2 linked regions of the Caenorhabditis elegans genome follow. The protein of the gene in region 2 interacts with the protein of the main gene of each other region in a biochemical or structural test. Each region holds a gene or a part of one and is shown on either strand. Other genes may lie near its edges.

Region 1 (7,731 bases), 750 kb from region 2:
CTCATTCGAAATTGTATTCATTTAATCTGACATCTGGCAAAAGTTTATTCTGAGGAAATTAAAATAAACATTTGAGATTGAGAATTCTGAATTCACTCGAAGCCTATGGCCTACGCCTATGACTTACGCCTATGGCAAACGCCTATGGCCTCCGCCTATGGCCTACGCCTACGGTCTACGCCTATGGCCTACGCCTATTACCTACGCCTATTACCTAAGCCTATGGCCTACGCCTATAGCAACCGTCTTTGACCAATGCCTATGGCCTACGCCTATGGCCTACGCCTATGGCCTACGCCTATGGCCTACGCCTATGGCCTACGCCTATGGCCTACGCCTATGACAAAAAAAAAGATCAAACTTCAATGTCCACAAATATCATATTCAAATCAAAAATTCAAACCAAAAAAAATTTTGGCGCACTAATATCCCGATTGTTTATTCGACCATTCTGTTCCCGCTCTTTTTAGATCAAATAAATTTCAAAACAACAGACTCACAAACTTTATTTGATTTTTTTTTGAGAAAGAAATAAAAAATAAAAACGAGTTGGGGGGACTGATTTGATACAAGACAGGAAGATGGTGAATGATGAAAAATTTGAATAAGCGAATTTTTGAATGAGGAAAATTTTTTAGAGAATAAATAAATTAATTAAATATCTGAAATAAAAACAAAACCTCGAGAGAGAAAATTTAGAAAAAAAAACGAGACGGCTACGGACGGGCTGACGTGATGGAATTATTTACGGCCAAATCTGAAAATAAAATGGATTATATTTTGTTTTAGGCCATAGACGTAGGTCATAGGCGTAGACCATAGGCGTAGGCCATATACGTAGGCCATATACGTAGGCCATAGGCGTAGGCCATAGGCGTAGGCCATAGGCGTAGGCCACAGGCGTAGGCCACAGGCGTAGGCCATATACGTAGGCCATATACGTAGGCCATAGGCGTAGGCCATAGGCGTAGGCCATAGGCGTAGGCCACAGGCGTAGGCCATAGGCGTAGGCCATAGGCGTAGGCCATAGGCGTAGGCCATAGGCGTAGGCCATAGGCGTAGGCCATAGGCGTAATCTCGAAAAATAAAATTAAAAATTACCGTAATCGTTCCGCATTATTGAGAGAAGCCACCAGGGAGTCTCTGTTCAGCGCACGTTTGATTCTGAAATAATTTTTAGTTTCAGGAGGATTTCCTCAAAAAATTTGAAAAATTTTCATCCCAATGACCCGACCAAACGCCACGACTTTCTGATTCCGAGAAAAATGTCCTTTTTTTTTCAAACTCTCTGCCAAATTTCTAATTATCTATTCAACCATTTGTCATTCGAATTGTACATTTTAAAATTGTATTTTGTTGAGAGGGTTTAAATCTTGAAAATTCGGAAACATCTTTTTATAGCTTTGAAGCTTAAGCGCCCCCACGTCATAAAACTCCTCCGCTAATCCACTTTCAATTAGTTCCAAATTTTGATCTACGTTCCAAAATGCAGGAACAAACAGGTGAAATTTTGATTAATCACTAATTTATTCTATATTTACTACTTCAAAATTTCACCTGCCTCCTAAATTTTGTTCTTCAATTTTCAGGCCTAGGCTAGGCTATAGGCCTAGGCCGGGCTATAGGCCTAGGCCAGGCTATAGGTCTAGGCTAGGCCATAGGTCTCGGCTAAGCTGTAGGTAACTGTAGGCCTAGAATATAGGTCTAGGCTATAGACCTAGGCTATAAGCCTGCCTAGGTTCTTTTACCCCAGTGAGAAACTCACAATGCGTACGGATAACGTCCTTCCGAGTAGAGGTACTGATCTTCCGATGATGGAATGATGACATTACTGAAAATCACAAATTTCTCATAGGCTACATTACTTTTATAATTGCAAAGTTCTTATTTCAAATGACGTGATGATTTCGAAGAAAAGTGGTGGGTTGTTGCTGGAGCAAACAAGTTTGTAAAGAGCATCTCCTTTTGCTAGACACAAATTTGAGATTTCCGGTCAAAACACACACTTTTATTGGATTTCGAAAGGTTGGAGTGCGTTGAAATTATTGAAAAATGTCACTCGGAAATTGAAAATGTTAAAAAAAACTTAAATTTTCAAGAAAAATGAACTGAAAAGATAGAAAAAGTGCACACTACGTACCGATCGCTGGGCTCCAAATTGTGGAAAAAGTTTAGAAATCGCATAGGTTTGAACCAGCGTCTAGAATTTTTTCCATGACCAACTAGTTTTCAAATTTCTGCGCGTCAAATCTGGTGTTCCTCGATGCACCATATCTTACGCGCAAATTTCCCAGTACTCACTTTTCTTCCCACATTGCGGGGTCCGATCGTTTGCCGTATCGAAGCCGTCCAGCATTATTGATAGCTGATGCAAATGTGGAAATGTCTGCTTTTTTCTCCAGTGGCAGGGATAGTACGCTGCAAAACTTTTTTATGTCGTGACACAGCTGAAACTATTGCTACAGTAATCCTTTTTACTTGAATATCATAACATAGTCTAAGTATACACGTGGTGTTAGAGTGTCCCATTTCGGCTTGATCTACGTAGATCTACAAAAAATGCGGGAGAAGAGACGCAGAGTTCTCAACTGATTTTGTATAGTTAAGGACGTGCTGACGTCACATTTTTCTGGGCAGAAAATTCCCGCATTTTTTGTAGATCAAACCGTAATGGGACAGCTTGACGCCACGTGAGTATACCGAATATAACTGTTTTAAAAAATTATATAATTTTTCCAAATTTTCGAGGATTTTTTATATACATTCTTAAAAAAGTTTACAGGGACTACGATTTTTTTTAATTCCAGCGCAAATGAACGGAAATTTGAAATTTTCAAATTTAAATTTAAACTACGCCCAGAAATGTATTAAAGGCGCATGCCCAAGTTTTGGTGGGTCTCGTCGCGATTTGTGAAATTTCAGTTTTTGATGCATCATGTTCGAAATTCAAAATGTATGAAATTTCTAAATAGGAAACAGGTTAAAACTTTAAAAAATTTTTAAAAAAATTTCAATTTTTAGAATTTTTGGTTCAACTATTAACAGTATTACTACATATCTGAATTTATCAAAAATTTGTTGATCCAAATCTAGATGGGGGATTAAGCCTAGTTTTTGATTGTTTTGAGATGCTTCCTTGTTGACTTTTTCACAATTTATTACTCATGAGCATTGACTAATACTCCAAATTAATCCCCTTTTGTTTCAGAATTACTTTTTTTTTGTGGATTTTCAAAAAAGATCATGAAAAAAATCCTACTTATCTCAATTTTGCCACGTCATTGAGAAAAGTTGAACTGCAATTTTTGGTCGAAAACATTTTTTTCAAACAGAAATTCACCTGCCATGATGTTTTGCGCAGACAAGCTAAATTTAGATTTCGAAAAGATTTAAATTTGAGTAAGTAACTGAGTAGTAAGTTCAAAAATTAGAAAACATCAAGTTTTTATAATTTTTAGATTTTTTAAAATTGTTCTGATTTTTTTCCAAAGTTATCCCAATTAATTTTGTGATTCTAAAAATTGTCTTAAACTGAAATGAACATAAGCTTATCCAAAAAATTAAAAAAAAAGCTCAGAAATTCAAACTTCGACCCAAAAAATTTTAACCAAATTTTGGATTTTTTTTTCTTTTTTCCAAAAATTCAAAAAAAAAACCTTATAACTTACAAATTAACACATATATTTAATGAGACTATAGTAATTTTTTTTTTGAAAAATATTGAGTTTTTTCTAATTATCCTAGATGATACTGCACCCTTAAAATAGTTTTTGAACAAAAATCATTAAAAAAATTTTTGCAAAATATTTTTGGCCCAACCAATGTATTAAGTTATAGATTTTGGTTCAGTTAAAGGTACTACAGTAATACTACAGTAATACTACAGTAATACACTATAGTAATGTTAAAATAATGTAGGATCACAGTAAACAGAAATATGGTCTCTTACCAAATTTTAAAACAAAATTTTCGTATTTAAAAAAATTCAAAAAATTCATAACCAACAACTTTCAAATTAAAAAAAATCATATAATAAAACTACCGTACTTTCAACAAAAAAAATCTACAGTACCATTCCCTACAGTACCCCTACAGTACCCCCACAGTACCCCCACAGTACCAACCTGTCAGTTAAAACCAAAGCAACAAAAATCAGAGCCATCAAAAATTGGAACTGCATGTTTTAGAAAATATGTTTAGTAGTGGAAAATGTGTGTGAGTGTATGTATCGGGTGTCGAAAACAGAATGAGCTTTCTCCCCCCTCTTGCTCGCCGAGCCAAAAGTGGGCGGCGCCTAATGGTGGGTGCTCCCAGGAAATGATGCCTGCCTTTCATCACATTCTTCTTTAATTTTTTCTTGTTGCCACGTCATCACACACAGCTACGGTATTTTTATATACTATACGATGAATCCATGACAATAATACGATTGTTTTACGACTTTTTGGGTGGTAAATTAGGTTTTAGGCTTAAAGCAGGAAGAAGCTAAACGGAAATGTGGTGCCAATTAAATGGAATGGTTTTAAACCGAAATTGGGTAACCGGATAGAATTTGTTAGCGGTTTTCGAGGAGGGAAATATGGAAAAACAGAAAAATATACACAGATATATACATGTATATATTTCAATTTTGAAAGCATCACCGCGTCACTTTTATTTGCGAAAAAACAAATTATTTTCCCTCTCTGCCAAAATTACAATTTCATAATTGGGTTCCTACGAGGGAGTGGGCTCAGGAATTTCTGAAATAGCTGAAATATTATAGTTTTGAAATTTCTAAAAATTTTAGCAATTCCGGCAATTTTTTTCGAAAATTTATACAGAAATATAGAAAAACATTTGTACTTTCTGATAATGGTATTACTTTTTTCTTTAAAAATTCAAAAAGCTGCTCAAAACCCACCTAAAAGTCAAAATGTGCCGATAGAGTCAGTGACCCTAGGTGCATTACGGCCGGCTTTGAGGCAGTTTTTCGGCAATTTCTCAAACATTTTAAATAAAGATAAAATTGTTTTCAGAAAGAACAGATATTTCTCTACATTTCTATATAATTTTCCAAAAAAATATTTTCAAAAAATTTTTTTGGATAAAAATGAGTTTTGTAAATGAGCCCCATCCCTCTGTTTGGAAATAAAAATAAAAATAAAAAGTAAATTTCCTCAATTTCAAATTTTCCAAAAATTGTTGATGCTATGCAATTTCCGACAGCAGGCACCTAATTGCCTGCCTGCCTTCAAAGCAAACCCCATGAAGAAACTTAATGGAAATGAAAATAGACAGAAATTAGCAAATATGCATTTTTATTGGAGGCGGCGGTAGGCAATAGGTAGGCACATAGGCAGGCAGGTCTCCTTCTAACGCGTCCACGAGAAAGATAAAACCCGTCCACATTTAAATTTCGAACAAGGTAATTTTTATCGACTTTTATATTTTTCTACGTCACATATAGTAATCTATATCGGTTTTACCTATAAAAATTGCGGGAAATTCATCGGTATGACGTCACTTGAATTTTACTGCGAGACCTTCCAAAAATACTATGTTTGCGAGTTTCGAAAGCCTAATTGCTTCCTCATATTTTTGAATACATTTTTTTCAAATGTAGTTTCATAATAAAAAAAGTGATTCTGCATAAATAAAATGTTGATCTAGTTATCAAAAAACCCTTCACCTGGTACAAATGAAATTTGATTCGTTTTTGCTTTTCAAAAACCAATTTTTGATCTAGTTTCATAGATTTTGACAACTTTTGTTTGCTAAAGAGCTCAGATTATTTGAAGAATTTTAGGAATATTGTACCAAAAAAAAGTTCAAGTACCTACCTGCTTGCCAAGGTTAAATTTTCTAGTTGTAAGCCTTTAGAATCTTCTTTAGAGCTTTGAAATGAACCATGTAATTGTCTTAAAAAATAATTAAAAAAATTACCTGACAGAAAGAAGAACTGTGAAGAAAATGAGCAATTCTGTGATCAAGCTGTGCATTTTTATTCTGCAACGGGGGTACCTGAAAGTAAAATTTTTAGAGATTGAGCTGAATTTCAAAGGAATTCAGCAAAAATTTCCGAGAAAATGAGAGTTTGAGGTGAAATGCGGCTGCTACGTGGCCTAGGAAATTGGAAACTCGGCCATGAGTATTTTTTTTAATTTAAAAACCTCGAGATTAGCATACAGTATTCATACTAGAGGCCGCAAAAAACAAAAAATATCAAAAATAAATTCCTGGCCGAATTTTCTAATTTTCGCGGCCACGTCTGGACCAGAGTCAGAAACTGCAAGATTCCTGTAAAAATTCGAATAATACACGTAAAATTGTGAAAACTCAGGAAATCCTTCAACAAGTCCGTCGTATTTCGGAATGAAAAATTCATTAGCACCGCATATTATTTGAGACACAAAGCGCAAAAAAAGGAAATTTCCGAATTCGAATACAAATTAATATTTAATTTTTTTATTCTTGTTGTTAGAGGGCATGATGTCAATGTATATGAGGAAATCTGTATAGAGAGAAAATAATTTAAAGGGCATGAGAACTTGATGCAAATCAAGCACGTGGTCTGCAAATTTCAAAATTTTCGGCAAAGTGCCGGTTTGCCGAATTTGCCGGAAATTTTCAATTCCAAAATTTTGCCGATTAGCCGACAATTTTCATTTCTGGCAAATTATCGGTTTGCCGAATTTGCCGGAAATTCTATATTCCGGCAATTTGCCGATTAACCGGAAATGTTAATTTTTGGCAAATCGCCGGTTTGTCGAATTTGTCGGAAATTTTCAACTCCGACCATTTTCCGGATTTCCGGCAATTTTTGTTTTTGGCAAATTGCCGGTTTGCCGAATTTGCCGGAAACTCGAAAAACGGCAAATTGCCGACTTTGCCGGTAAAAATATTTACCGCGCACCTCTGGTCTTAATACACTCATACATTCAGATTTTCAAATTTTCAAATGTTTGAGAATATTTCAGGTTTTTCAAAAATTTTATATAGACAAAGTTATTGGCAAAAAATCTAATTTTCCAAAAAAAAAGAGGGTTGACCTCCAAAATTGGCGAAAGGGGAAATTTAGTTTTCCCTTTTTTGACTTCAATTAAAAAAACTCAAAAAAAAATTCTACCGTAATTTCGGCTGAGTGTGACGTCAATTTTCTAAAATATTTCTTTACTACAGTTGACCATGGGAAAATGGAAATTTTGGAACTTTCGAGAAATAAAAATTGCCACGAAATTTCCTCGTACATATTTCATAATTAGCAGTGAGAATAAATGACGTTAGAGAACTAAAAATAATTTTGAGATCCCAAATATAGATTGTTGTGAGAACTACATTTGGGTAAACATATCGTTTTTAGGTAGAGTTTTTGTAAATTTTCAGAGATCCCATGAAAATTTGAAGACACAAGGCAAATTGACTGAAGTTTTGCACCGTTTATTTAGTTCACCATAAGGCCAAAACATTTTCTAATCAATTCCAAGTAACCAAAAAGGTTAATTAAAAAATTTCTAATCAATCAGAATCGTCTAAGCGTCATTCACCTGATTGATGAATTTGTTTTGGTATTGACAAATTAGAAAAAAGGTTAAGAACCAAAACTATCTAACAACAAAAAATTTCGTAAACTGGAAAACTGGGACTCGTTTTGGTTTAGAAATAGTTTAACAACTTTAGAAATTTCTAGGCCCTACAAGGTCCTGTGCAAATATAGTTGTTGTTTTTGGCATGCCTACGAAAGTACCTACG
Region 2 (7,198 bases):
AAAATCTGTTATATTTTTTTCTGAAAGAATTGAAATTCACATATTTTGTTTGGATTTAAAGTTGCGTTTTTACAGCCAATAATGGTACGGTAGGAGCAATACAGTACGTTTTTTTAAAATAAGTATTTTTCGTGAAGATAAATTTCTCGGATAAAAATGAAAGAAATTTAAAATTTTTAGTAAATTAGTAGATAATTGTTTTCATGATATTTGATCTCTCAAAGGAAATTCCCGGAAAATGATACTCTGCGTTTAAATTGTTGTTTTTGTATTTATATTTTTTTGAATTTGTTTAGTAATGCAAAAAACTTATTTTTGTTTTTGTTACATCTGCCGGGTTCCTCTATTTAGCTGTTTGGTGATCTGATGAATACCGGAACTCGGTTAGTGTCGAGTGCTGCTAAAATTGTGATTCAGGACTCTTATCACCCCTACATTTTCGTAGACACAGAAATATTTGCCTCTTGCTCGGTGTGCATTTTCAAGACGTTTCCCTGTTGTATAATCCCATTTTTCTTTGCGTGCATCTTTATTAGGTGACGCTATTTTGACACAAAAAAAAACAAGAAAAGAAAACAAAGAAAATACAAAAAAGGCAATTAGATTTTTGTGGGGTTGCTGTCTTAGGAGGAGAAAAAGCGGAGCGAACTGGACCCGGATTAATCGCACGTTTCGTTATGCAAAAAATGAACAGAAAATAAAGATAATGGAATTTTTCGAGAGACGGGCAAGATGAACACAGGGGAGTAACGTATAGAATTTACAGCATCTCGCGGGTAGTACTCGTCGAGCCATTAGAAAGAGTTGCCTGCACATCTGTCCGAATGAGTAGAGGTCGGGAGGAGGTCGTGTAGCTGGATCCCTCGCAATCCAGAACCACCTGCTTTTTTCGAACCCTGCAAAATACAATTTTCAAAGATATGAAGGTATTTAGTGAAGCGGCGGACACCCCCCCCCCCCCGGGTTTGCTGTAGGATTAGCAAAACCCAGAAAATGTCGGTTGCGGCGGAAGTAGACTATGTGGTTCATGCAAATCGAGTCTCGAAATTACGCTCAACTAACTGATATCATGGCGCACTAATTTGTTCGGTAGAGCGCACTTGCATTATCGGATTGAAAAAAGCGCATTTAAACGGGAAAATCAACATTTTTTCTGTTTGTTAGCTATAAATTTGTATGGCTCGCTTTTCTCTGTTATTTAGAGCATTTAATAAATTCAAAAACTCAAAACTTGCAAATTTAACGGCGATTGGTCCAGCCTCTGCCAACTAGAATTAAACCCGAAAAAATTTCCAAAAAATTTCCAAAGTCCACGAGTAGTACACGACCCATGACGGCACTGCGCGGCAGACGCGCCCCATCGCAAAGAGGAGATGTGTACCCCATATCAAGCTTGAACAACGTACAAAAGACCAGGAAACAGAATTTTTTCGAGAAAAGTCAAGCAGTTAGAGGATTAGAGAGTTTTTTAAAAGTTAGAAGAGAACCTGTACCTGTCAATATTGTTTCTCCGAAACGTTGACCGCCGAATCGAGTTACTCACTCTACTGGCAAACGAGGACACAATCTGAAAACAAAAGGCGGCTCAGAGGAAGAGAGGGGGGACACAAAGGAAGCAGTGGAAAACGGGAAGAACACCAGGAGCACACGGCTAGGAGCAAACTTTATACAAGGGGACTTGAAGAAGTTTACAATACTCACCTCTGTTGAGTTGAGTATTTTTGACAGTCCGGAACGTTTTTGTTTTCGTGTCAGCCAAAAGAATAGCAGAGGGTTCCAGACGACTAAGGACATGGCTATGACGTGAGCATTTATTGCCCAGAAGAACGGCTGACGTTTTAGCCATTCGGGCTCTTTTTCTGAAAATTTTGGTTTCAATGTGTAGTGATTTTGAACATAAGTTTCGAAAACTACGGCAAATATTTTTTCGAACATTTTAATCGCTCACACTAGGAATTACAGCAGGAATTCTACATAGACCTACCACAGGCAGAAGCTTTTTATGTAGGCTTCCTTTTCGTAACATTACACCGACTTGGATTGAGCAGCATAAATTTTCACCAAATTATAAACTAACCACATTTTGCTCATTTTTACAAACTATACATTTTGACCTTTTTCAATTTAAGAGCCCATGTTACGACTAATTGAACGTGCTGTGCTGAGAAGAGATTTCGTTTTTCAGACCAAAAATGGCCCAAAATTACCAAATTTTGTAGTGAGGCGTTTTGAAAATTTCTCAAAAAAAAAGTTTGGGCGATTATTTTTGGAAAAAATGGCTCATTTTCAGCGAAGGTGTAAATTTTTACCAATTTTTACAAATTTCGGAATTTTTGAGACATTTCGAGTTGAGCTAAACAACTTTTCAAACTTTTTTTAAAAATTTATATATAATTTTTGGTCATTTTAGTAATAGTTTTCAGTCATTTGGGCCGTATTCAACCTTTAATAAGTTAATTTTAATATAAGACAGTCAAAAACAAAATTGAGCAGAAAATGTTGTCAATTATAGTTAGCGTTTTCAAAACAGTTGACTACGATTTTTTTTTCCAAAAAACAAATAAAAACTCACTAAAATCTTTGACCAAATTGAGTAATGTTAAAGGCAACCAACACCCGATAAATGTGACAACCATTGCAATTAGAATATAATTCACTTTCTTCTTTCGTGACGTCGCATCACTTCTCTGCTTTTGTGTCAGTGATTGACAGAATTGAGCATTTTGGATGATCATGTCTTTTGACACTTTTTGCAAGATTTTGAAGTAGCAATACGTGATCACTGCCATCGGCACGACGAACTGCAAATTTGGACGTATGTAGGAAAATTTCAAAAGTTTTAAAAATTTAGGTTTGCAAAATTTTTATGGTTGTTAGGTCAGCGTGTTTTTGCTCACCTGTAACAACATAACCGTAGTTCCGTAAATCTTTCGACTATTTTCGCTCTGCCAATTCGCCTCGTCGCAAAAGTGCCCGCAGTATGGAGTTTCTCCGGGCTGAACGTAAAAGCTTCCATCGACGTGCTCGAAAGACATAAGATACGGTAGATTTATCAGTGTTGAGACTATCCAGATAAGAAATGTTATTGCCAACGCTTGACGAATCTGGAAAGAAAATGAAATTCGAAAATGGTTTTTTTTTTTAATTTTAAAAATGAGTTTTAACCGGAAAAATTTAAAACTATCCAGAATTTCCTAGATTTTTTGGACAAATCCAAAAACTTCAAGATTAGAAAATTTAAACAAAAACCTCTTGGACATTCCTGAAATGTTAACAGCCTTCCAAAAAATTTAAGAAGCTTCAAGAAATTTCTAAAACATTCAAAAAAATTACAGAACCTGTCAGAAAATTCTAAAACCTTGTAGAAAATTATAAAACATCCCAGAAAACTCAAGGAATTTCTAGAAAATTATGGGAATCTCAAAAAAAAATTTAATGTCCAGAAATTTTTAAAGCGTTGCAGAAAACTCAAAAAATTCTGAAAGCTTCCCGATAATTCTAAAACAATAAAAAATGTATAACCTTTCCAAAAAAAAAGTCTGAAGTAGTACAGAAATTTCTAGAACACTTCAGAAAAAATTCTCGAGTCTTCCAGAAAGATTTGAAAACTTGCAGAAAATTCAAGGAATTTTAGAAAAATTCAATAATATCCAAAAAAAATTTAAAAACTACAATAAAATTCCAGAACTATCCAGAAATTTCTAGCTCATTTCAGAATATTCATGAAGCTTCAGAAATATCTAGCACATTTCGAAAAAAACTTACAGAAACTGGTTGTTTGGTGGGATCGTTGATATGCAGAAATTTATCTAAGGAGATTGCAGTGAGGCTCCAACTCGTCACAAACACCGAACACGAATTTGACAAAGGAACTAAATGGCACATCACTGACCCGAATGCCCAGTCTTTGGTCATCGCGTACCTGGAAAATGGGAATTTTTTGAAAGAAAAAATTCATAACATATTCTACAGGAGATATTCACCTAAAAAAACTTGCTCAAAAATTTTAACAATTTTTTTTGAAAATTACTCAATTTTCATTGCAGTAAAAGTTTAGGTTATAAAAATTAAACAATTTCCCTCAAAATTTTCACAAAAATCCATACCATGGTGTGACTGGAATCGCTGTGAACACCAATATCAAATCGGTGAAGATCAAGTTGAGCAGAAATACGTTGCGAGCCGATTGGAGCCGCTTGTTTCTCGCCACCGCCCATAGTACGCCGCCGTTTCCAAAAATGCCTAATACAAACAGGAACCCGTAGAGGAATGTGAAGATTGATCGGATGTAAAAGTCTCTGCAAAAATTTGATTTTTTGAGTGTAGGGGAGGAGAGGGTAGGACTTTGAGTATGGCCGGCACGTGAGACAAAAAAATGACGTCATACAAACCGTAAGGTGTCGGGTGCTACACGTGGCAGAAAAAGTTACGCCAATCATGCCCGCGAGGTGTCTACCGCTACTTGTCAAAGGAAGTGACCACACAGTGCGGCAGACATCTCTCGGTCATGTTCCACGTCACTTTCTTACAGCTTTAGTGTGACAGAGGAGGGACGTCGTTCATTACAGTAATATGTCGGCTGCTAAATCTAGAAGAGCAACGACGTTAGACATACCCTTGAAATGTCGGCTGCTAAGTTATCTAAGGTATTCAAACTTTCTCTTTTTGTTTCCCTGCGATCGCCAGTTTAATGTCCCCATTTAATTTTCATGGATGCTTCCAGCTCAAGAACATTTGAAAAAAATGTCAAGAGCACACAGCTGTCGGATGTCACAACAACTGTATCATCTATCTCTCTCCACCCTAGTTCTCAACAACTTTTCTCACACTGATAATGATAACAAAAATTTGCCAATTGATTTTTCTCCAAGGAAAATGAGAAAGAGAGCACTTTTCCATGTCACTCGTCAGCCACATGTCAAAAGTTGAAATGTTTGAGGACAAGTCTCTCGAGCGGTTTTGGGTGAAAAAGATGAGATCGTTGAACTATGACGGAAATTGTGATTTTTGTGGTGAGAAAAGTTGACAGGTTTTTTTGGAAATTATAAGTTAGAAAATCCATCCAGGATACCCAAAACTTACACAGTAATATCATCGATGCCTTGTGCCGCAATCGCCTCAGCGATCTGAATGCACGAGCCATTGTTCGAATGACTTGTGATAACGTTGCTGATGGTGGAGGGAGTCGTTGTGGTTGAAATGGTCGAAATGGTGGCCGCCGAACTAACCATGCATCGAAGGTTCTGGAATTGAAAATTTGATATTAAAGAGAGAATCTTTCAGAGGGGTAATATAATCGATAAAAGGATTTGAAAAAAAAAATTCAAAAAAGTCAAAATCACATAAAAACGTTTTGAAGAAAATTACATGCATAAAATCCATAAAATAAAAATATCGTTGAAAATTTTAGAGTTTTTAAATTTTTTAAATTCGAAAATCGAAAAATGTTTTTTTCTAAAATGGGAAAATCGAAAAGCGTGTTCTGGAAATTAATCATAAAATCCAATTTTCTATCAAATTTCAGTCGATGAAAAAAAAAAGGAAATTTCTTCTAAAAAAAAGAAAAATGGTAAAAATTTTGAGCTATTGTTCGGGAAGTAAAATTTTTATATTTTTAGATTCTTTTTTTTAGATTTTCAAAAAAAAAATCAAATTTTACATAAATTGTTATGTTAATGAAGTTAAATAAATCAATCTCGAAACCCGCTTTAAAATGTGCCAGGTAGTTCAAAAAACAAAGAATAATCTCCATAATTTTAGGACTAAACAAAAAACCTTTAAAAAATCAAAAAAATTATCTAAATGTCTCAGTCTTCCCAGTAAATCCTTGGTTTTTGACCTATGGGCTTCCAACAAAAAGTGTAAAAATAAATTATTATATGTACGTCACACAAAAAAAATTTGACAAAGATAACAAAGAGATTAAATAAAGAAAAGCTCTCCCTTGACCGATCACCAGTCCATTTTTGACCTATTAAAAAACATCAATTATTTAAAATTTAAGCTTGAAAAAAGTCACATGGCTCCTAGGAATAAAGCTAGCTTCTAACAATTCACCCAAAATTTGGAGGTATTCAGCGTGATAAGGTGGATAAAGTGTGACTAATGTTTGGTTCAATGGCAATTTGATGAATGAAATATGTAAAAGGGGGTCACAGGAAACTCGCATCATTATTATATGACTACCAATTTTTGACTACCAATTTTTCTTGGGCCTAACTTTTCAGGTAAGCATCAGGCAATTGGGCTTGCCTGAGGCGCCTTCCCTGCCTACCACAATTATAGGCTTTGTTTTAATAACAAATTTGTAAGTTTAAAGTAAAGTTCAAAAATGATAGTTTAGTTTTAAAACATTTTTTCGAATGCCAAAAAAATTCCAATTCCATTTAAGTGACGGGGTTTTTTCGAGGTATTTTTAGAACATTTACTAATGAAACAACAAAATTTTATAAAGTATTGGAGTCTAAAATTCTGCAAATGATATGATAAGATTATCAGAGCACACTTTTGGCTTTTAGAGCAAAAAAAGATGGAGAAGAAAGGAGAGAGAGAAATAAGGTTCAACAAGATTAGAGCAATTGGACGGAGATAGGGCGGAGATGCGATAATCTTTGACGTTTTTACGGCGAGTGGAGATGGAGAAGGAGGATTCTTAAAAACTGCGTGAGCCGGCAGTATGTCTAGTGAAATTTGAGAACACTACGAGAAGACTATCACCTGGTGTGGGAATTTGAAGGTAGGCAGGTAGTTTAGAAGGTTTTTATGGGTGAGCTCAATGGGGGGGGGGTGTTGAGTTTGAGGAGCAAGAATAACGATATAAGAAGAAGCAGTGAGATGGGAATTTTTTAGAAAAGTTTCAGGTAGACAGGCGCGTGTTTTAAATGTGCCTACCTACCAGTGTTGTGCGGTTAAAAAATTATATGAAAATTTTTACAGTGGTAAATTTCAACTTTTTGAATCCAAAAATTATGAAGAAATAAAAAATAATAATGATTTTTGCTTAAAAAAAACTTTTTAAAACTTTGAATAGAGCCTGAAAGTTACCGTTTCCCGTTAATCATTTATGGAAAAATTCCAGGTTACTTTAGTAGTGTTTACCATATGTGTATTCAAAAGATGTTTCAATTTTTAAAGGGAAATTGGAACATCGAAAAAAAATGTTTAGAGAATTAACCATATAATTTGTTTAACCCAATTT

The links. The genes of interacting proteins can lie anywhere in the genome.
Region 1: of the proteins of npr-5 (region 2) and flp-34, one has a biochemical effect on the other in vitro, tested with the Caenorhabditis elegans proteins (one study listed by BioGRID).

What each region holds. Positions count from the first base shown.
Region 1 is NC_003283.11:1,027,405-1,035,135, forward strand, and holds flp-34 (FMRF-Like Peptide), read right to left. Parts: upstream 6,001-7,731; 5' UTR 5,982-6,000; coding exon 5,926-5,981; intron 4,249-5,925; exon of another isoform or gene 4,181-4,248; coding exon of another isoform or gene 4,125-4,180; intron 2,419-4,124; coding exon 2,302-2,418; intron 1,832-2,301; coding exon 1,766-1,831; intron 1,165-1,765; coding exon 1,102-1,164; intron 758-1,101; coding exon 742-757; 3' UTR 490-741; downstream 1-489.
Region 2 is NC_003283.11:276,474-283,671, forward strand, and holds npr-5 (G-protein coupled receptors family 1 profile domain-containing protein), read right to left. Parts: upstream 5,244-7,198; 5' UTR 5,232-5,243; coding exon 5,083-5,231; intron 4,299-5,082; coding exon 4,107-4,298; intron 3,923-4,106; coding exon 3,766-3,922; intron 3,105-3,765; coding exon 2,898-3,104; intron 2,802-2,897; coding exon 2,573-2,801; intron 1,860-2,572; coding exon 1,702-1,859; intron 1,568-1,701; coding exon 1,494-1,567; intron 897-1,493; coding exon 761-896; 3' UTR 513-760; downstream 1-512.